Linked DNA regions of Schizosaccharomyces pombe. The gene in region 2 interacts genetically with the main gene of each other region. Each region holds a gene or a part of one and is shown on either strand. Other genes may lie near its edges. The genes, in order: sst4 and hse1.

Region 1 (10,101 bases), on a different chromosome or scaffold from region 2:
AATTGATCAATTTTGAAAAACAAAAAAATATTAAAAGGATCGTAAACAGACATGCATTGTCGATAAATTGATCTAAGTATTTAATATGTATTATAAGATGTTTAAAACCTAAAGCTCGATTAAAGATGCTTCTTGAACTTCAGGAATATCATTACCTTGCTTATCATTGCCATTCATTAAATCATCATAACCAGAGGAAATTTCGTCAAAAGGCTCTCCAACTTTATCGATTGAATCAGTATTATAATAGTTGGTACTTTCATCGATATTTAATTTTGTATTCTTTTCACCAGATGCGGTGTCAGAAAATACAACTTCATCGTGTCGATTTCCCATTACATTCGCAGAAACGTCTGTATCCGTCGAGTAATAACTGGAGATAGTATCTTTCTGACCCATCACATCAGAATGACTAGGGGGATTTTCTGTTACCGGAGACGAATCGACAACGATTTTCGGGACAGAAGAAGACGAAGCCTGGGGAATGGTTGAACTATTCCTCACAGTGCTAATTACATCCGGCTCAGGTTCAATTGATCGGTTTGAATCCATGCTAGAATCAATATAATGATGTGCATACGTGGATGAAAGTCTTTGTTCTATTAGAGCATCATTCAATCGCATACAAGTTTGGAGCTTTTGCAAAGCTTGAATTAGCCCGTTATATTTACTCATTGTTTCACCAAGCGATCGCATCATACGAGTTCGCATAACACCCATATTTTCGTGGAGTTCCTGTAGCTGATATTCCGTAAAAATAGACCCAGGTGGTAGCTTTTTTAACTTTTGCACCAAAGTAGCATATAAAGTGATGTTATCAGCATCCGCAGTAGAAATTAAAGTAGAAGGATTATCACTCGGCCTACCAGAGAAAGGAGATGATCGAATATCAGTTGAAACGGTGTGAGCTGGAACACTAGGGTAAGAAATATTCATATTGTTAGGTGCCGTAACATTGTCATCCTTTTGAGATGACTTCTGTGCTTCCTCAAGGCTGATAGCAATAGCACGTTTAAGCTCTTCATCTTCGTCTTCTGTAAGATGTTGGTCTTGACTAATAACTACATTGGCCTCTGAAGGTCTTTCATAAGATGGAGGTTCTCGTGATTGAGGCATTTCTTTGAGGGAAAGCTCAATAGCTCTTTTGATATCTTCGTCTTCATTATTAGTTACGGGTTTAGAGGGTGTCTTTCTAGTCTTCGCATGGAATTTCCTTTCATTTCGCGCTCTTGATTTGGAACCTTTGGGTTTCGTACGTAATGAATAACAACTGTCGCATACCCTAACAGGCTGGTTAATTCCAAGGTGAGGAAGAGAAAGTGTTTTTGAAGAACATTGATTGCAAAACACGCCACCGCAATTTCTACAATGGTGTTTACGATTAGTGAATGTAAAAGGTGTACGACAACGAAGACAAACTTCACTATCTGTCCAATCGGGCGGTGTTTCAGTATCTAAAAATTTGCTAGTAATGTTCTGAGAAGGCTCAGGGAACTCATAATCACCGTCTTTTAAATTTTGATAAACATGAATAATATAACTAAGTGGAGAATTGGTATCTGGAACTGCCAAAGCCCAAGACTGAATGTATCGTAAAATGACCATTTTAACGTCTTCGTCTATTCCTGCAGGAGATCGTAGAATAGATACCAAATTATCCATAAACTCTCTAGAAGCTATTTCCAATAAAAAACCGGAACCCCCATTTTTAACGCAGGTATCTGTCAACTTCAATGCCATTATTTGAACATTCGGATTCGAATGATCAATTCGGGATTTAAGAATACGCATAGCAAATTTCGGATCAACAGACTTACTACGTATTTGATCAGAAATTTCTAAATATAATGAAATTTCTTCAGAGCCAGCAGGAAGCGTTTCCGATGTAGCCTTTTCTATGTCGGAAGCAAACTGAGAATTGGAATTCCACCACCGAGACATCGTTATGAAAATAGAGAAGAAAAGAAAAACCGAAATTAAGAAACAAAAGAAATCTTTTTATTATTTGTAAGCTAAATTGTCACCAAACAAATAACCAATGGCCTTCAAAAATTCCTAATAAACAAAAGCAGCAGGTGAAGTATAACAACTTTGGCACAATTCTTCTGATTGTTTGAAATTATGGCAAAATAATGTATTGTAAATCCTCCTTTCCAATAAAATTCAATTTGAGAAAGAGTTTGGTTCTCGACAGCAATAACAGATTGTTCGTGGCTCAAACTTGCTAAGTAATAGTGCGGGCAGCTTAGCACATCTCGGTATAACGGTTGATAGTGCAGAGCGGCAAATATAGTAAAGCAAGTATTGAGAGAACACTAATTGTCGTAAATATCGATGATGTTTATAGACTCATTAGGTAGATCAAGCTAAAGCGTGCAATGTAGTTTCAGCCTTTTTGAAGGTACCATAAATAAGCAAAGAAGGAAAACGATACCTCACCATTGAGTGCTGTACTTCTGGTAGGTGCTAATAAGACAGACCGTAATAATTTATATTTGCTATGCGAATTATATACTATCACAGTGTTTCTTGAAATATTATAAAAAATAATATGTCAAATGTTGTAGTATACACATACTTAATTTTCCTATGTTAAAACAAGTATTTAGTATATCTTCAAATTTCACATATATATCATATAAACAGTCTATTTTACTTTCCAATTTGTAAGCAATCTGTTTTACGGTCCATAAATTACATTATGTATATATACAAAAACAATTCAATCCTATCTTTGTCAAATTTATGGAGCTAGTTGCTATTAGTAATATGCACTAGCAGTCAAGCGATTAAATAATTGTACAATTAAATCCATCTAAAGTTAAAACAATTGTATAAAAAAAAGTTTTAAATTTTTGATTGTTAAGAATTAAATATGAAGACGAGTTTAGTATACCTCAATGTCAGTGGTATGTAGCTGCCTTTTGCCAACTCCATCAACAGATTTTGTAAATCAACGAAATATGCCTATTCCAATTATTGCTCACATAGCACAATTTAAGTATGAGCATCTAATTACACATTGGGCTCAATATACAAAGGCTGCGATTGCGGTTTCAACAATTGCGGCCTTTAAATTCTGGACTTCTGGACGAACAACAACTTGGGAGCGTAAAATGAACGGAATGGTAGTCATGGTCACTGGGGGAAGTTCTGGAATAGGACAAGTTGTCGTAGAGAAATTAGCTTCTCTGGGAGCTCAAGTTGTTATTCTACTTCGTACAGAGCCAGATCAATTTACTGTAGATTACATAATGGACCTTAGAAAGCGTACAAAAAACCAACTAATTTATACTGAAGTCTGTGACTTGAGCTCTATGTTATCTGTTAGGAAGTTCGCTACAAAGTGGATTGATTGCACTCCTATTCGTAGGCTGGATATGATAGTTTTGTGCAGTGGAGTTTTACTGCCTCCATTTATGGATAGGCAAACTACCGAGGAAGGTGTTGAGTTGCAATGGGCTACAAATTTCTTAGGTCCATACCAGCTACTTAGGATTCTCCGCCCAGTTATATATGGTCAGCCCGGGCACAGGGAAGTACGAATTGTTGCAGCTACCTGTTCATCATATATTTTAGGTAATATAGATTTCAACGATCTTGATTTATCTAATCATCCATATCCTCGAAAAAGTCCCTGGAAGGTAGTGGGAAATGCCAAACTTGCCTTGATGACTTATCTTTATGATTTTCAGAAAAAAGCTGAAGCTCATGAACGACCTGACAAAATGCCGTGTAATTTACATACCATCATGGCAAATCCAGGTGTCGTTCGAACTCCAGGATTTCGAAGAGTTGTATCCTTTGGAAAGGTTTGGGGATTATTTCTTTATTTGTTACTTTGGCCGTTTTGGTGGCTTCTTCTGAAAGGTACTATTCATGGTGCTCAATCATTTTTTCATGCTATTTGCAGTCCCGAATTTGCTTCGATTACTCAACCCGTCCTTGTAAATGAATGTTCGATAGTTGAATATTCACGCAAAGAAATTACCGATCCGGAATTTGCTGAAAAACTAATAAAAGCTGCCGATGCCCAAATTGATGAAGTTGAAAAGCAATACAAGAAGAAGAAAATCAAGAAATCAAAAAAATAGAAGTTTAGCGAAAAATATGGAATGTCATTTGGTTGGAATATTCACCATAATAACGTAGGTCCGAAGTTAAAAGGTTGGTATTTTTAAAAAGACAAATACAGTGCTTAAACTTTAAGCTGTACATAAACATTGCTCAAGTAAACTAATTAAAATATAAAAAAGGAACCCAAGTACAATCGCTACTGATATATGTTCTACTTCACTAATGTTTTGAATAGTATAACCATTAACCACTAATACTAGAAAGTTTTGCCTCCTTATTTATCAAAGATACCATTCACTCTAATGGCCTTGCCTATACATAAAAGAATTGTAATTATTTACCTGTATCCCAAATGAACCTAAAATAACCGTTTGACCATACCCATCATACCTACGCTCATTCAGCTAAAACATCACGTTTGTGACGCTGGTAAGGCTTCAATTTCCATTCCACATCAGCGTCTACCATATCAACGGTGCCGAGGGTAATTTCAAATAGTTTCATCTCAAAGCGAGGACCAGCCTCAGATAGAATAATCTGCTTTGGGCCTGTTTTGGCGTAAATGTGGTGACGGAAACTGATATAATCATCAGTGTTAGCAAATGTAACCACACGTGGTGTAGTATCTTTAGGGTCTGGAGGAAATAAAGCAGAAAGAGCTGTTTTAACGCGCTTTCCCAACTTTGAAGTCAAATTTTCAAAAATAAGATGTGGATACGCTTCTGACATGGTACCAGTATTAGGGATATCATGACGAAGAACCACGTTATGTAAAGAAAATGACAAGGTAGGACCATAAGGAAGATGAGAAATTACAAGACCATCAGGGATACCTCTGTGTTCGTGCAAAATGACTATATCGGTAATATCATTGGCACGAGCGGCTTCTACCAAGCTTCCGACAACGATATTACCACGATTGAGTCGATATGAGTTGGGAATCAAGAGACGTACTTCTTTTGCAAATTGCGCTAGACGAGATGAGGGCTCTCGACTGGTGGTAACTAAAACTTTTGGCTCCCTCTCACCCAGACGGTGGTACTCATCGTCAAGGTTGGTTTCTGTCTCTTCTTGAGTTGCTCTGCTTTCATCATATTTATAATCCTTTTGAAGTTGACTGTCTTCCTGCAAATCTTTGTTCAATTCTTTGTTACCTTCCAATGCTTTTCTTAATGCACGTCGTTTTTCATTGAGTTTTGCTTCTTGAAGTTCTTGATTTCTCTTATAAATGAACTGTCTTCTTTCCCTAACAGCACGACGAAGCATCTTAAATTATTAAATTAAAAAAAATTACACTTGCAGTATGCAACTAGCTGTTTGCAATGCGAAAGTTGTATGCACCTCGTTCTTAACACTAATGCCGAAAATATTTTTTGCATGGGGATAGGTCGCGAACTAATGTCAGCAATACTACACTACGCTATGATACACTACGTTGCGTATCACTATATGTCACATGTTCTAATTATATATCGTACCATGTATGATACGATATGGAGATTGATCTTAATGATAATCTATTAAGATCAATATTATCTGAATACTATAAATAGAGCTACTGCTGAACCTCGTTCCTCAGTTCAGTTATGAGCTATATTAGTGATAGGTAACATTATAACCCAGTTAATACAATACCTATACTCAGTTGCTACTTATACAACCTGTGTATTGTAATATAATAGACCACAAGGAAAACTCACCGCAGTTCTACGTATCCTTAAATCGGATACCAAACTGTGTAGCAAACACTTGTCTCAGTTTAATACTTTTTGTTCTATAGCGTTCATCATTTATATGTTCGTCTTCACTAATCAACTGAGCACGTATATATACGAAATGTGCGTATTTTAATATGATCATAAGTTTAGACTTTTAAATAAAATTACACTTACAACCTAATCGCATTATAGCACTGAAAATCTTTGTAAAACATTGTTGGTTAAACTACAGTAGAAAAAGGTTTATCCGACTAAGTATACTACTATAGTTAAATATTCTTTTCTAAAAATTTAATTGGTTTATAACTTATCCATCCAAACAGCCAAGTAGCTGAAGGCAGAAGAAGAGATATTTTAGAAAATTTACTATCCGTATTATTTAACTTTCACATCAAACGTTTTAGGGGAAGCAAAACAAAAATATAATTCACGAACCAAAAAAAAGAGTGACCGATTTTTTGAATTTTTAGAAGCTTTTACCAGGTTCTGAAAATGCTCGATAATAAACAAGGATAGGTAATTGAAGCTTATTGATGAAGGATTAGCCTTGTATGAACCCAGAATATTGGGAATTGGAAACACATTCATATAAAAAAGTTGACTATGACAATGTTTGTCGATTTTCCAAATTCTACATCCGTTTAATTACTGTTAGGATTGACATTGTTTTTCCTACCCAACTAAATCTTTTAAAGTGCGAAGTAGGAACACTGTACATTGATTCGAAAAGTTCACTAATGTTTTAAAAAATGCTTAGGATCACTTTTCTTATGCTGGTAGTAATGAGAAAGTCGATTTAATCTAACCTCGTATTTGCAACCTCATGAGCGAACTCCGGTCTCATCCAGATAACTTTCAATGGGAAAAATTATTCTCGTTGATGAGTAAATATGACGAAAAATCGTTACGCTAAACTACCATTGTTTTAAAAGTTGGAATGAATTAATATCTATCTATCTTTCAATCTCACACATTTTTTTTCTATACTACATTTCTATAGATATAACTTCGATGCCACGTAAAAAAACAAGACTAACTTGGTTTTCAATCACAATTTATTACGTTCACTATAGTTATGTCAATCGCCGCTTCTTCTCAAATGGAAGTGTTGGATGATGAACGATTTATCCATGTGTCTTCACGAAGTGATGAAACGTGCTACGTTGTACTGCAGGGTTGCATGTATCAGATTTCACACAAAAATTATCAAAGGCATTGATTACGTCTAGATGGTTTACGTCTTACTCACGACAACATTATGTGCAATTGTTTAAGAGGTTTAGTTGCCACTTTCATAATAAAAAAACTATATAATTTGGAGGTTTGCATACTAAAATCATAAATATTCATATCGTTTAAAAAATGACCAAATATTCTAAAGGAAACAAAGTCGAATACCATCCTGTAAGTAGGAATTTTTGATTCAGGCATGTCAGTTAAGTACACTGTATTTTGTGTACCGAATTGTGTCTTGAAGTTTTTCGACTGTGATTAAGTATTAACAAATGGTTTAAGATTGGTGGCCCTAGCGGTACCAGCACCTCAACAGGAGTTATCCAGCAGGTGATTAAAAACGATAGCGGAGAGGAGACTCGTTATGAAATATTGAACGATCATACTGGAAAGGCTGCTACCTACAAGGAGAGAAACATTTCTCGTATCCTAGACTAATGTTTTAACGATCTGAGCAATTTTTTGTTGAATATGATATTTATTTATAAAAGTGTTTTATTTATTCGAAGGCAATACATGGTTTTCTGAGTATTGCTTAATTACCCTTTCTGAGTATCAACAATTGTATTGAATTTCTGTTAGCACACTTAATAGCTTCAATAAATTGCTACTGTTACCTTTTTTTCCTTTTTATTTAAGATTGTTACACATCAACAGTAAGCGTAAAAGTGGAAACCGTAGATATATTTTCGTCAATCATAAAAGGTCCTTATCAAGATGATGCATACATCTACCTGTATTAACTGTTTTATTCTTCATGCCTAACAAATTATGTTTAAATTGTACCAATGCACAAACCTCCTATTGCTTCTAATCATCCCCAATTGATTTATTCCTCTAATATATGAAACTGCAGCAACAATATAGCATTTATGCAACTAAAATATAATCCAATACTGTTTATTCTTTTTTAAAAAAAAAAACCAGTATAATTTAAGATACTTGCCATAGTTACTTTACAATATTATTTCGTTGTGGAAGAGGACATGTGTCAAATTTATCTACTCACTTTACGCCAACTATCGTCGACTAGTGTTCTAAACAAGATATGAGAATTGAAGTGCTTTTCAATGCAATTTCGTTAAATTATGTCAAGAGAAGAACAAATAAAAAAACTTAATCAATATTTGGATAATAGAGAGCTTGCCTTCCGAGCCAAAGATGGTGACAAAAATATATTTCATACTGAGAGCCAGCTGGATTCTTCTCTAAAGAAAAATACAGCATTTATGAAAAGATGTAAGTCCTCATTAACTTCTGAAAATTACGATTCCTTTATAAAGGAAATAAAAACCCTGTCTTTGAAAAAGTTCATTCCTGAAATTACCGCCGCCATCGTAGAAGGAATGATGAAATGTAAAGCTACTAAAGACATACTGTCGTCAGTCAAAATTGTTTGGGCTCTTAATCTGCGTTTTTCCACGGCTTTTACTGGACCCATGCTGGCCAACTTATACTGTGCTTTATACCCAAACCCAGGATACTCATTGTGTCACGAATCATACTTTGAACTAAAGCAAAATGAAAACGAAGTTTCCGAAAAGGACCGTTCCTCTCATTTACTCAAAGTTAGACCGCTCCTTAGGTTTTTGATTGAGTTTTGGTTAAATGGTGTTGTTGGCACTCCTGAGGATTTCGTCTCTTATTTACCTTCTACTGATTCGAATGATAAAAAGTTTCGTAAGCCATGGTTTGAAGAGCAAAATTTAAAAAAACCCTTGGTGGTTCTGCTATTCAATGACCTTATGGACACAAGATTTGGGTTTCTCTTGTTACCGGTTTTGACATCTTTGGTGAGGACTTTTTCTTGCGAACTTTTCACTACAGAGGATTTTGAAGATAAAGAAACTTTAGAACTAGTTAATCGCCTTAATCCGGTTGTGTGGAGGACTTATTTAAGAAAGTCGTTGAATTCCTACGTAGACAAATTAGAGGTCTACTGCCAAAAGCGAAAATCTCTTTTTGAAGAATTAAACAAACAATATCAAGAGCAAAGCATTATAAGGGCAGATCCAAACAATGAAAAATTCCAGCGCCTTGCTAACTTTTCAAAATCGATCGAGTCTGAATTTTCTTCTTATGCTTCTCTTTCAGAAGTATTGAATAGAAAAGCTTCCGAAGATCTCTTGGAACTCAACTTTATGGAAAAGGCTTCCTCTGGAACTAATAGCGTGTTTAATGCATCAGGCGAAAGGAGTGAGTCTGCCAATGTTGAAACGGCTCAAGTTTGGGATGATAGAGAGCAATATTTTTTTTACGAGGTGTTCCCAAATTTTAATGAAGGTTCTATAGCTGAAATGAAAAGTAGCATTTACGAATCCAGTCAGGAAGGTATTCGTTCTTCATCTGAAAACAATAAAAAAGAAGATGATCTTAAGGACTCAACGGGCGATCTAAATACAACGCAAGTAAGCTCAAGAGTTGATAACTTCTTGCTAAAATTACCCTCCATGGTTTCCTTAGAACTCACGAATGAAATGGCCTTGGAGTTTTACGACTTAAATACAAAGGCATCTAGGAATCGACTTATAAAGGCTTTGTGCACTATCCCTAGGACATCGTCTTTCCTTGTTCCTTATTATGTTCGATTAGCACGTATTCTTTCTCAACTTTCATCAGAGTTTTCCACTTCATTGGTAGATCATGCAAGACATTCGTTCAAAAGGATGATTCATCGAAAAGCTAAGCACGAATACGATACTAGATTGCTTATTGTTCGTTATATTTCTGAACTTACTAAATTTCAGTTGATGCCTTTCCACATGGTTTTTGAATGCTATAAATTGTGTATAAATGAGTTTACACCATTTGACTTGGAAGTTTTAGCATTACTTTTAGAAAGTTGTGGGAGATTTCTTCTTCGTTATCCGGAAACCAAGTTGCAAATGCAATCGTTTTTAGAAGCCATTCAGAAAAAAAAATTGGCTTCTGCGCTTGCCTCTCAAGATCAGCTTGTACTAGAAAATGCTTTACACTTCGTCAATCCGCCAAAGCGTGGTATCATAGTTTCAAAAAAAAAATCATTGAAAGAGGAATTCTTGTACGATTTAATTCAAATTCGTTTAAAAGATGA
Region 2 (13,805 bases):
GCGAGTATAGAAAATCGAGTTAAAATCAAGAGATGAGAAATTTCCTTTCCTTTTATTTCTTTCCCCTTTGAAACAATAGGAAAATAAAGGATTGAATTTGTACAGTAAATAAGACTAAATAAATAAAAATGCAAATGCCAAACGATATCGCGAAAGCCGGGAAACAGAGAAAAACGTAAAAAAAAATTGAATAAAAATGCACTTCGGCAGTTAAATTTTTTTGTTTTAATTTGTTTAGGCGATCAATTTCTATTGTTTGCCTCTTTACAATTCACAAAGAAGGAGGCGGACCCTACAGGTTATTAAGGAAACGAAAATTTCTCTGTTTGCAGCCACCCAGCGAAATTTATGGAAAAAAGAAAACAGTAGAAAACTACTGATAGCGAATCTTTCGTAAAGAAGGTTGCAAACACTCTAGTATGCACGGAAGAGAAGAAAAAAAGAGAATACTAAAGAATGTATATGTTTTTTATGGATGAATGAAAAGAAAAACAATTTAAATACTGAGAAGTCAACAGAAAGATGTTTGTAAATAGTTGCAAAGGGATTTTAGTAATATTATGATTTTATTCACATTTCCATTTAACCTTAATTTTTCCCCGTAAGTAATCGAATCCTGTTGAAGATAAAAACAATTGTATAGTATAATATTGGATCAAACGGAAAGCTAGCACCACGTTTTTTACATAAGATAATGAAGATAATGAAATATTTAGTAGAAGGTAGTTTATCTATTTGTTTACATTCTTCTACATTCTACAGTACGTTGAAAAGAAACGAGATTCATAAACATCAGTCTTAGTTGACGTTTCTAATGTTTCTTCAATTCTATTTCCTAACACTACGACGCACTTGTGAAAAAAATAATTTGTATTTACATGAAAGGGACAAAGTCTTGAAAGTAGCAAAATCTCTATATTATTATTTTATTACCATAGGAAGTATGCTTATTATTTTGTGGGGGTCACGTACCTTGTGGGATTCAGCATACAATCTTTCTAGCATTATTCTTTGAACATATTGCTCCATCCCCGGTTTCCATGGAAAGTTATAGAAAGTTCCATGTGGGGGCATACACAGGTGGGATTAAAAGTCCATAATCGATTTTCCCACATGGTATTGAAAAAGCTCCAAGTGGGGGACTGACCTGAAATCTAACCATGTGGAGGTAAAGGAGTAAACAAAAGGCTAAAAGTAAATGAGAATGTGAAGTGAATTCAAAAGTAAATAATTGACTAAAATTAAAAAGAAAGAAATTAATGCATTTTGTGTAGGATAGATGGTTAATAAGTGTTTTATTCTACTGTCATAATAAACTTGTTTAATTTTCACTGCACAATTTTTTTTTTTTATTACACAAGAAAAAAATAACGAGATTGCAATTGATTTGTATTTTCTAAATATTTCATTAATTTTTTTCTTACTATTACATTCTTCAATATCAATGAATCGTTTACATTTTGTGTTTAAAAAACATTAACGAATAAATAAATAATATATGTTTCTTTTATGGGGTCAACTCAAGTTGGCTAAGCTTTTTTCTTCCCTTATTTACCTTTAAATCCTGTTTATATGCAACACAACAATTATTTATAATAATTATTTCCTCAAAAACACCTTCATAAATGACACAAACCTCTTTTATTATTTACTACACTTCTCATTCAGTATCAGCTACGCAGTTTGGTATCTATTTAACGATACACAGAACTGTGGTGAGTTTACTTGCGACCTACAATGTAGCGGTATGCGGTATGTTAACTAATAACGTATATTTATTGTTATAAGAAGTCTCTTAGTATCGGTCACCGATATAGCTCATAACTGAACTGAGGAACGAGGTTCAGCAGTAGCTCTATTTATAGTATTCAGATAATATAGATCTTAATAAATTATCATTAAGATCAATCTCAATGTCGTATCATACATAGTATGATATATAATTAGAACATGTGCCATATAGTAATACGCAACACAGTGTATCATAGAGTAGTGTATTGCTGGCATTCAGTAAACAATACGGTTCTAGTTTAAACTACGCTGGATGATATTACACTGCTTTGCAACGCTTTCTGATGGAATAGCGAGAGTAACTTTCAAACCTCTCAATTTTTGTATATAGTCATGTATCGTAACATAATGATACGTTAGTGCTTCGCTATAATTAACTTTTTTGGCACTAGTTCTCGTTATATCATTCGTCTCAATTTCTCTTCACCTTTGCTCTTTGCTTCTTCTTCGATCAATAAGCAGCGAATCATCTATACAGACTTTGCATGCTTGCTGAATATCTCGTTCATGTAGGTAGGGTAAATGTCTTTTTGGATCCAGAAACAAAAGACATCCCAAAATGCGTCGCTGACTTAAAATTCCCTTTACCCTTAACGCTTTCTAGGTCGACTCCAATTAATCCTATTATACGCTCGGATACTATTCAATTGGTAATTTCGTGTCCTCCAGTTACATATAGCGATGAAATACAGGTTCCTTGGAAGGCTATTGATTTAAATAAAGATGATGCTGTCAAAAGTACCATTAAATGTAAACAATGTCAATCTTTCTTAACAAGCATCTCTTCTTGGAAAGATCTACCATCTGCAAATTGGATGGAAATGCTAGATTGCTGGTCCTGTCATACAGATTATCCTACGGTCCTTTCCAAAAGAGGGGGTCCTTCAATGTTTCAACCTACTGATGACTGTGCTTATTTGGGTACGTCTTATGTCCTCATTCGACTACAATCCTTGGTAAGTATTTTATTTTTTTTTCTTTCCCAAATTTTCTATTCGTTCCTCTTTATTGGCTGTAATGTTCATCCATTACAGTGAGTAAGAATTTTGAATTATCCATTCTACTGCATCGTCTTCATAAATAGCCCTTTCATATAGCTGGGTGTTCTTTTTCTTTTTTTCTTTTTTTTTTTTTTTTTTAATGGGCTTAAAAGAAACCCATGGTTTCGTTTCTTCCTTCCAAACCATGGTGATACATAAGCCCTATAATAATGCAATTTTGTATTTCCATCTGTACCCCTTGTTCCAAAAGAGGGTAATTTGGATACTTTAAATAAATGCAACCTATTTCCAGGTCGCTCATTGCAGAGTCTTGGCATGATGCGGTTAAATAAGTTGTACATGATTGAACAGGAATAAAAGAAGAAGATTCACTTTCTCCTTAGATTAATCACCTTGTTATTTTTCTACAAAAGAGTTTTGACTAACAAGATTTTAGGAGGGAAAGGTTGCTTATGGACCTAACTTCAAACTTCATTGCTCCTTTTGTAACGCAGAACTTGGACTCCCAAACAATAAAGATTCGAGTAACGGCGTACGACTTGACAAGTCTAGTATATGTATTGACGATCAAAAAATTCATCCTTCCTTTATAGTTGCTTCGGAAATACTAACTTTGCGTGACATGTATGCCACTCACAAATTTGTCATTGTAGACGGCGAGCGAAGTATATGGACTTGGTGTTTCGTACCACACTTACCAATTTCTTTTCAAAAAAGTCCGTTTTCAAGCATTGAGTTTGCAAACAGTCCAATCTCTACCATAAAATTACTTTATCAACTAGAAGTTCCTCCCGATTTTACTAAAAGCTCCGAGGATTGGATGGACATACCCGTTTCAAGTCACGCCTTTGACGAAATTTCTCATGTTTTGGAAAAAGGAAATCTTTCTTTTCCGGTCTCTGCTCAAAAATTTGGTCCTTGGAAAGTCGGTTTACTGCCGAAATTTCATAAACAAATGATCTAATGTGTCATGTATCCTTTTAAATTTTTAATTGGCAATTATTTCAAAAAGTTAAATACTTTTTAATGTATCCTTTTTGAAAGAGAAATGAACCGTCTATTTTTTTGATATCTAGTTGTTATGCACATAGTATGTATATGTAAATTAATCATTTTTTTTCAATCCATTTGTTTTTGGTTTTGACCGAGCAGAAGCATATACTGCGCTGGATCCAAACACCAACAAAGCCCCAAATTTTACGGCAGGTCCCATTTCGTTTTCAAAGAGAATGAGGCTAAGACATAAACTCACAAATTTTCTGACGTTCAAAACAACACTGACTGTTAGAGCTGATGTTTCTGCCCCTAGCGCGTTTACTCCACGTACACAGAAGTACTGAGCCAACGTATTGAAGCACAAGTACCATACTCCGGAAGGTAAATTTAAAAACCCTTTCGTGTGGATTGCAAATAAATCATTCCACTGACTTCTTATGGGCCTTAAAAGGAACAAAAAGAAAGGAAGGGAAAGAGCATGAGTGTAAAATAAACTTTCACGCCAATCTGAGCCATATATTCTGTAGGTATTCTCCAATACCAATCCCATGATGGCACCAAGTATTTGAGTTATCACCAGAATAGTAAATCCAATGCCAAATCGAGTCATTGATTCTACATGCAAATGTAAGTCCTTCGCATTCCCCAACGTTGCTATTATGACACCAATAGTAAGTATGAAGACACTTCCAATTTGAAGACTTGAGTATCTTTTACCAGCTAAGATTCTGCCAACCGCCATTGTTGTTAAAGGTCCACTACTTCTTAAAATAATATGTACTGGTACTGAAATATCAAACCCCAAGGCCACATTATTCAAAACATTAATAGCAAAGAACATTACTACAACCACAAACCATCGTTTACGCGGCACCTTTGGATGTTTCAATGACTGAACGTCGTTTAGCAAAAAGTATATCAAGCCTTCAATAGTAATCAGTATAAATTGCGAGAACGTAATCAGAATACCACTGCTTGGGAATTCTCGCACGAGTGCTTCAAGCGCATATGCGTTTGAACAGCAACCTCCAAATATGAAAGACAATGCAGATGCTATCATTCTAATGCTTCCTTTGGATAATTATAGTATTTGTGAACCAATGTCAGCTTCTTGGTAATCCTAAAGTTATGGAAAATAAAAGAATCGACTGCTATATTGTAGTATACCAAAATGAACAAAAGGCTTCAACAAATAATGTCTGTTAAAATAAAAGAATGTGTAAAAAAGAATCAGTTAATTCTTATGTAACAAATATGTAAATTGAGGTCGAATTTGGCTTAAGGGAAGTGTAGAGGTGAAGACAATTAGACAATCGCGGGCTTTGCTTTCGCGCGTTTTGGTATTTATTATATTCATACATATTTTTTAGAACGCAATTTTGTAAAAAGGTTTATTCTAGTTATATTTTTATTTTTAAAATAGGATCGATGAGATTCGTTTACACCTTTGTTAAAACTAACAGTCGTGTAACCTTTAATTGAGAAAGTAAATTAAAATAAAAAAAATTGTTTTATTAAAAATATCTCAATAATTATAACCATTAAATAAAAGCATAATAACTAAGCACTTGCTTGCAAAAACATTAACTTGCAAAAAGCTGATGATTAGCTTTAAAAATTCCTCATCTCAGACATTGACTGTTCGTAAAGTTTTTCATAATCACGGCGAGCAACTAAAAGCCTTTCATTCAGATCCATGAGTTCTTCTTTCTGAGATGCGTATTTTTCAATTAATCTTACAAGCTTTGGACGCAGGGCAATCATCGCGTGATATTTTCCTTGAAGAGCATCATCATCGGCAGCATCAGGAGAGGTAGTCGATAAGGTATCAAGTAGTTCATCTATTTGAGGAAGCGCGTCAAAAACTTGCTGCTCCATATGTGCAGATTGACGTTGCTGCTCAATGGTAGGCTCAACGACTCGTTGCACATAATTGACGGGAAAGATTCCAACAGCATTTTTGCAAGAACCTTTCCACCAATCTTTATACACGCTTTCCAGGACTAATATAATATCTCCCTTTTTAAATGAAAGTTCGCCCTGCTCGGTTGCCGCGAAATCATAAAGCGCTCGAACGCGAGAAACTGTCGAAGCAGGAGAAGTAGCTAAGTTTGATTCCTGCCGTTGGTTCGTTTTCTGCAGCGGTTCATCTTTAGTGGATTGGGGGTTTTCCACTTTATTCGATTGCGCGGTCGATTCCGAAAGTGATAATGCTAAAGCATATTGAAGCTCCTCTTCTTCTCTTTTGAGTTCTAATTCATTCATCGCTTCTTTTTCTGGCTTTTTAGGAGCTCGTAAATCAACGATATCTAAGAGGTTAGATCATATTATCTTTAACTTGTCCATTCAAACGTGCATGAAACTTACCTAGCTTTCTAATTTTTTCACAAATATCTTGCATAAGACTCATGTTGGGATCTTTTTTCATTATTTCAGCCCATTCGTTGACAAGAACTGCGATTCTACTACGCACTCGGTTATGAGTTGTAGAGTCACTAGCTATTTTCAAAAGAGAATCCGTGAATGTTCTAGAGGAGATCTCTCGTACAATGGAAGTCTTACAATTTTTCACAATGGCATCAGTAAGCTAAAACAAACGTTAGATAAAGTAAATTTGCGCAATTCATTTTAAAATAGAGTGTATTGATATAAGGAACAATAAACAATTTGTAAAGCACAGACAATAGTATTCTCAGTGGTTCCAGATTGAATAATCATAAATTGATTGCTTCCTCCTCCTCAAAAGTGGTACAAACATACCGTCAAAGCCAACAATTGAATATTAGCATTCGCTGTATCCAGCCTTTTATTTAAAAATTTAATCGAGTTCCGACCACTACCAACCAGTTAGTGAAACGACTCTGATTACGATTAACTTACACATCTCCAGAAGTGCTAGATAGTTGATCGCACGCATCCATTATAACGTCCCATTTCTCTTTAGTATTCTTTTCATCAGTGGCTTGTAAAATAAGGGTCTCAATAGAGTTGGGTTTTCCTCGAAACATATTGGTGAAGAAGAGATGGCGGCGACCACTATGCTTATCCAAGACATATATATAACCTTGTAATAAATCGAGAAATTTTAGATCAATCAAATTGCTACTTGTTCTGTTAAAGGTGAATTTAATAAATTTCTATTTAGATAAATTCAAAAGCATGGTAAAGTGGTTGGTTTATATAGTCAACATTCATGGGTGCTTCTAAAAAAGAACTTGTAGCCGATTTATTATTCTTGGTTCAAAAATACGAGTCAATTTTTAAATATTCAGTAATATTTATACTTTTTGGGTTAAGCTTGGGTTCCTTTTAGAATAAAAAGACAGTTTCACTACCGAGTTGTATTTTCATGCTCAAGCAAACTGTATATTTAAAATACTGCAATACTCTAATCGGTCAAGTGTTTAGATTTTCTAACGAATGATGATGAATATAAAACTATGAAGCAACATTAAACCCTTGTCCTCATATATCAATTTGAGAATTCATTTATATATCTATTAAAACTAGTGTATTATAGTCGCAGCTTGCTGTTACTATATTTATTTCATTATTTTAAATAATATGTAAGCTCACCAAAAAGCATTACATTTCATTTAGCATTGGTTAGCATTCAAGGCTCAAACTAGGTGAATTCAATGTACGATATTTGTCGTCTAGATGATCGGTACAGTCCTTTTACATAGCTCTCTAATATACGAACAAAATACTCATAATTTGATTAATTAGACTTTTATTAAATGAAATCGTTTTTTTCTTTTTATATTCAATTAATTATGTAGTGACCTAGTCTGCTGTCAAATCTCGTACATCCTCTCCATATACCCTTGAGGTAGTTAACTTCTAGTCTAAAAAATTTGTTGATAAAGGTGCATTGCATGTATTCTTCACTACATCAGCTTTGTAATAAAGTCATTTAAGTGTCGGATTTCGAGTTTTTAATTGAAAAAGCTTGAATTTGACATTTACTCAGCAAAATATGGAAAGCAACCTTTCCGCCAAAGGTATTTTTCAACATGCAAGTGCTAATGCATCAGGGGAATTGTTTCAAGAGCCCGTAACAGAAGATCTTGAAAAGGTAATGCAGTCGAAAGGACTGTATTCGATGGAGGAGTTGTGTTCCATCATCCAAGAAGCATATGCTCCGCGAGTTTCGGTCCTATGTTCCCGAGATGCTGACGAGTTTGCCATGAGGAAGGGATATCCTAAGGGGTTTTGGGAATTGTTGTATCCTTTTGGAGACCGTATTCGTGGAAAGGTAAACCGTAGAGGAATGAATGGAGAAATGCTGACGTTGGAAAATTTAAATTTACATTTTGTCCCAATTGATGCTTTAGAAAGCCACTTAAGTGAAGCATCTTTTCCTTCACTTCGCTCGGTTTTATGTGAGCGATATCCAGGTCTTGTTTCACCTGAACCCCCTTCAGATTATTCCTTTGGCGTTCATTATAAAAACGTTGAACGATGGGCTTGGACATTGGCTCATGAAGGGAATTACCAAATGCCACTTCCTGTCTATGTGCGACAGTTACTAACTGGGATACCTATTACTCCTTTTGAAACTTTTTCTCATCCCGTTGCTCACCTTGTCGTAGTAACTTCGCATAATCCTAGTCCTTTTGAATCTCTCAGATCTTTGATTAATTCGATTCCCTACCTTTCCCTTCCTGCTTTCGTTTTCAATGATATAAACTACCTTTTCGTATATGTTCATGATGAAGATCAACATGATTTGGAGCTTTCAATGGCTATATTTGATACGATGAAGCAGACATTTGGAGATTGTGGATACTTTCTTCGCCTTCATTCACAAAAGGCTACCTTAGATTATGAACATACCGTTCCTTTTCCAACATCCTCTTGGTTGTCTGCTGAAGAACGTTTACACCTTTTATCTAATACGGATACTGAAATACGATTACTCTTTGAATCCGACAATGAATCACTGCGACGGTTATCTTCGCACATTGCGTTCAACGGAATTGTCTCTTATTTGGACAAATGCGTAAGAGCATGGGATGATCAATATGCTTCTCCGAGACGAGGGATTACCGGTAAGCTGTTATTTGCATCCAGAAAATATTTATCTAGTTCGAATGCTTCTACCAATTCTAACTATTTCCCCTCATCTAATGCCTATCGTCCATTTTCACCAGAGGCATATCTTAGGAAACTTGCCGACTATTCCTTCATGCTACGAGATTATTCTCATGCAAATCAGATTTATGAAATTGCATCAAGACAGTATGAAAATGATGGTGCTTGCTTATATTCTGCTGCCTCTCTAGAAATGATTGTAATAACTGAACATATTTTACACCTAAAAATGCCATATATGAGTTTGACGAACACATTGAGAATAAACGAGTATATGCAATCTGCTATGTTAAATTATTTGAATAAATCCTTCAATTCCTATTATCATGCTGCGCGCTGTTTCCTTCTCCTGGGACAATTCCTTAGTTGTTTACCAGCTCCAAAAGTGGACGATGCTGCTAACTGGAATGCAGGTTTGCTTTATTCTAAGAGATTGGGTCCTGTAGGAAGAGCAATGATCTTTCAACAAACTCACACTCTCTTTAAATCCCTTTCTTATTTAAAAACTGAATCTACGGACCCGTTCTCTAATAAGCGAACTCGTAAAGCCGCACTTTGGTGTGTATTAACTGCCGATGCTTGGTTGAGATGTCGCATTCCCTTTCGTGCCAAGCCTTTTGTAGAGGAAGCAAAATTGTTTTATGGAAAAATCGATTGGAAGGATTTGAAGGAGTGTGTTGCAGCACTTGACGAAGTCGAAGTCTCCAAACAACCTGCTTCTAATATTCCTTCTAGCTAGAAATGCCCCACTTTCAAAATGTATATTATTTTATTTACCAAATATCAAAATTTCTACAGGTTATTAATGTGATTATATATAGCGAAATAAACTAATAAGTTAATCTGATAATGAAAATTCGTTAAAACGAATCCAACGAAAATTAATGATTAGGACTGTGGTCCATCGGATCCCGTTTGTGAATTGGTAAGGTCAATAGTAAGAGGGGGACTAACTGAAGTGGCAGGAAAACCGTTAGATGTAGAAGGTTCGGTGGAAGATTCAACAGCAGTGTTCCTCAATGAATCATTTTTGTTAGTTGTTGATTGTTTTGCACGGTTGATGAGATCAGCAAAATCCTCAGCGTATGCCTTCTCCCAATCGCCCCCTCCTAGTTTTTCTTTTTCTACTCCAATTGATTTCGACTGAACGCGCTCCCAATCTATAAGTTGGCGAATTAAATTTCTTTTTGAAACAGGTTGTTTCTGGTCTAAATTAGAATTGTAAAGGGTAACCCATTTAGCATGTCGACGTTGTAATAGTTGTTTATGTCCATCGGTTGGAAGCCCCATCTCTGATAATTTGGAACGAATTTTTGATTCGGAAAGGAGTGCATAAGTTAGTTTGGGAAGCCGCACTCGATCTTTCAAGGGTAGTTCATCTGCAGAGTTAAACGACCTTAACCTGCGCTTCGTGATAGAATCATCATCTGTTTTGAATGATAGTAATGAATTAGATTTACTATTATCCTTATTTTTATAAGGTGAGGAAGAGGAAGACGGGGAAGAAGGTGAGTTAAGACAAGAATCCAAGTGTTGATTAATTTGATTATGAGGAACTAAATTTGAACATGCAGGGCAGTGAACTAAATCCTCACGTTTCCTCTTTTTAGAATCCCTAGATGTCTTTTTAGCTATAGAAGCAGGAGATGAATTTGAAGCCAAGTCGTCTTCCCATTCCTCATCGCCAGAAGCTGAATCCTGTGCGATAACTGTTTCAGGAGCTTGAAGTACTGGCTTTGGCACATTTTCTACTTTTAAGAATTCAAACAATGTTGGCCTGATCACTTTAAAGGACTCTAAAATCTCTTCTAATATAGTGTTTTTTCTTAAGCGGCTTTCTTGCTCAGGAGCACGACAAGCAGGGCACATAGGATGTTCTCTCAGATAATCGCGTATACAAAACGAACAAAAGGTGTGTGAGCAAGAAGTAATTAAGGGGGCGCGAAAGTATTCATGACAAATCAGACATCGTAAAGAAGAATCCAAGCCCTTCAACGATGGTATTTTCGTTTGGTTCCAATCAGATGGATCTGTAGCATCTAGTTCATTCATCTTATTTTAAATTGCAAACCCATTAATAGTTAATATGCACTAATATTCAAACTTAATTAGGGATTCGTAAGAGCACTCTCGGACGGTAAATTTTTAAACCTTAGACACATCGATATGTAAATGAATATGTATATTCATATACATTATTACATTTAAAGAACAAATGTAAAGAACCTGTTTCTAAACGTACTTACAGATTCTTACCCTCGATACCAGAAGTTGGCGAATGCAAAACCTAACTCACCACCAAATTTATCTATAAAGGATTTTTGAAATTTGCACTCTTGTAATTTCAATTTTGGGGCTCGGTCAGAAATGGCAGACGTTGCAAAGTTTTTAGATCGAGTTGAAGGAAGTTTAAACAGAGTAAGTTTTAGCATTTTATTGACATTGCATGTGAAGATTTCTAGATGTACCTTAGTAGGTTGATTCGATTTATCTTATTCTCAGAATTTTTTTTTTTTTTGTTTATACAGATTATATACTACAATGAAACAATAGAATAACTTTGCCTATGCGTATATTACTTGCTAATCAAACAAAGTCGATGAATTCTAACCTTTACTTAGGGACGTGAGATTGACAGAATATTGTCTTCCTTTAAATTAAATGCATATGATGTTCTTGATATTTTGCCAGGAATGAGTGTTGATGATATTCGAAATTTGTACAGGAAAAAATCATTAATGATTCATCCAGACAAAAATCGCGATAACCCAAAAGCTGCAGACGCATTCGACATTTTAAAAAAGGCGGAGTCTGATCTAGTTAATGATAAGATTCGGGAATCTCTTGATTCGGCTTACACAGCTGCAAGGAACCAACTATTGAAAGAAAAAAAATTGTCTCCAAATTCGGAAGACGTCCATTCAGACCAGTTTTTATTTGATTTAAAAGTACGTTGGCGTGAAATCCTTATTGCAGATGAAGTTGCAAGAAGACGAGCACGGCAGCTCGATTTAGCAAACCAGCAAAGAGAACAAGCGCGTCAAGATGAAATTGCAAGAGAACGAAAGCGTCGTGTAGAATCAGAAAAGGTTTGGGAAGAGACAAGAGATAATCGTGTGGGAAATTGGCAGGATTTCCTTCACAAAACGAAGAAAAATAACTTAAAAAAGAAGAATAAAAAACCAAGGGTTCTTGGATAAAAGACGAAGTTACGCGTTTTATTGTACATTAAAGCTTCGACGACTTAACCTCTTTTAGTATTTGTACATGACCTATGCGATTGAAATGATTTAATATGAAGTTTTCAACAATTTATAAATTGAAATTTCTTTTCATGCTACGTGAGCAGATTACCATTAAGTAAACTAATCAACAAATTCTACTGAAATTTGCTTTTCGACAGTGATATGTATCAGTATCGTAATAGAATTAATATGAATGCCGTTTAACCATGGTAACTGCTTTGTATATTTACAGCGTTCTATGGCATATATTCCTAATGGGTGCATGTAAAGAAAGAGAATGATTGCCCTACCCACTGTCGAATAAACAACAAACTAAAGATGTTTGTATGTACAAGGCTTTTTGGAGGAAAAAGTCCTTAAAGAGAGAATAAGACCAAGAGCTTCCTTTTTTTCCTGGCATAGCATTAAAGCGCACCAACTGAAGAAACAAGCATCATCCTAACGTGCATCCCATTATGAGTTCGTATACCAAGTTAAAAAAAAGAGGGCAGAATAACACTAAAATTACTAATTATGTCTTGATCATATGTTTAAAAGAGATAAAAAGAAATAAGAATAAAGAAAAAACGCGACCATCATTATATATGTAAGTGAAAAGGGGCAGCGATTTAAATAAAGAAGAGAGAGGACTGTAAAACATGGTTACTGTGCTCAGGAATTTTTTTACAAAGTAAGGGAGCTTAATCAACATGATCGTCTGCATGTGCCAAAGGACCTTCTTCAGCACCCTGATCATCTGGTTGCGTGAATCCAGCAGTCTGATACTTTTTAGCCTCTTCAAGCTCTGCGGCCTCCCTTTCTTTCCTTTCGCGTTCCATTTCAGCCATAATACGCTTATCATCATCGCTAGGTTCATAAATATGCCAAATAACATAGTGAGGAAGTCCGTAAACGGAAAACCCCATCCGCTTAGCCATTTTTCCAAATCCTTCGGTTTCAGCATGCTTTTCAAATGAAAATGCGGGAAACTCGCAACCTTCTAGGTGTACTTTAGCTTTAGACATAATAGATACACCACCAATACCATCCAGTGGCATTTCAACAGATGGGTCACCATTAGGATCACGAAGGTAAGCCAAATGAGGGCGCCAGGTAGCATACTCTGCGTATCCTTCTACAATAACGTCGTCTTCGCCCAAAGTATCTGCAAGCTGAAGAGCAGTCTCAGATTCAGCCCATGAATTTAAATCATATGGTTGCTCATTGCCCAACCAATCTGGTAAGGGTCTATAAACGTTAGGAACAATAATGTCTTTATCATGGCGCATAAGATCCTCCAAAATAGTGTTTGGAGCAGTCTCCACGTCAACATCTCTCCAGTAAACCCAAGAATGGTAAGGCTGTATAGCGGCTGACAAAAGCCAATTACGAGCACGAGCCATTAATTTCCTTCGGGGACCTTGTGCCGCAAATCCATGACGGTCACTGAATTCTTGACCGAAAATAGCACCGAAGTCCTTTAGCATGATAAGGACATTGTTAAAATGCTTAGATTCGTCCTCGTCATTTTGAATAGCGTCTAAATGTTGCTTCAAAACCTCGAGAGTATTATCATCAGTGTCTGAAATTAGAAAGGCAAGGTCTATAAGTTCGTGAGGATAAGTCAGGTTATTCATGTGACCAAAAAACATATTAAGATGTTCTGCAGCATTTCGAAGTGGAGCACAAATCAACA

What was found.
Region 1: of hse1 (region 2) and sst4, changing one enhances a phenotype caused by changing the other (phenotypic enhancement), as found in Schizosaccharomyces pombe (one study listed by BioGRID).

Annotation. Positions count from the first base shown.
Region 1 is NC_003424.3:2,469,959-2,480,059, reverse strand, and holds sst4 (ESCRT 0 complex subunit sst4), read right to left. Parts: upstream 2,190-10,101; 5' UTR 1,942-2,189; coding exon 109-1,941; 3' UTR 29-108; downstream 1-28. Other genes in the region: pbr1 (putative dehydrogenase), read left to right, coding at 2,964-4,094; U3 snoRNP-associated protein Imp4, read right to left, coding at 4,474-5,343; protein prl65, read left to right, coding at 7,158-7,199, 7,311-7,466; nonsense-mediated decay protein Upf2, read left to right, coding at 8,117-10,101.
Region 2 is NC_003423.3:1,067,390-1,081,194, reverse strand, and holds hse1 (ESCRT-0 subunit protein HSE1), read right to left. Parts: upstream 6,817-13,805; 5' UTR 6,797-6,816; coding exon 6,669-6,796; exon of another isoform or gene 6,625-6,668; coding exon 6,549-6,624; intron 6,376-6,548; coding exon 6,156-6,375; intron 6,098-6,155; coding exon 5,400-6,097; 3' UTR 5,242-5,399; downstream 1-5,241. Other genes in the region: ipa1 (mRNA processing protein), read left to right, coding at 2,277-2,747, 3,229-3,756; yea4 (NST UDP-N-acetylglucosamine transporter), read right to left, coding at 3,898-4,848; TRAPP III complex subunit Trs8502, read left to right, coding at 7,768-9,624; rhp18 (postreplication repair E3 ubiquitin-protein ligase), read right to left, coding at 9,774-10,937; DNAJ protein Spf31, read left to right, coding at 11,253-11,303, 11,507-12,085; mannan polymerase I complex subunit Anp1, read right to left, coding at 12,811-13,805. UniProt on the Schizosaccharomyces pombe protein: Component of the ESCRT-0 complex which is the sorting receptor for ubiquitinated cargo proteins at the multivesicular body (MVB).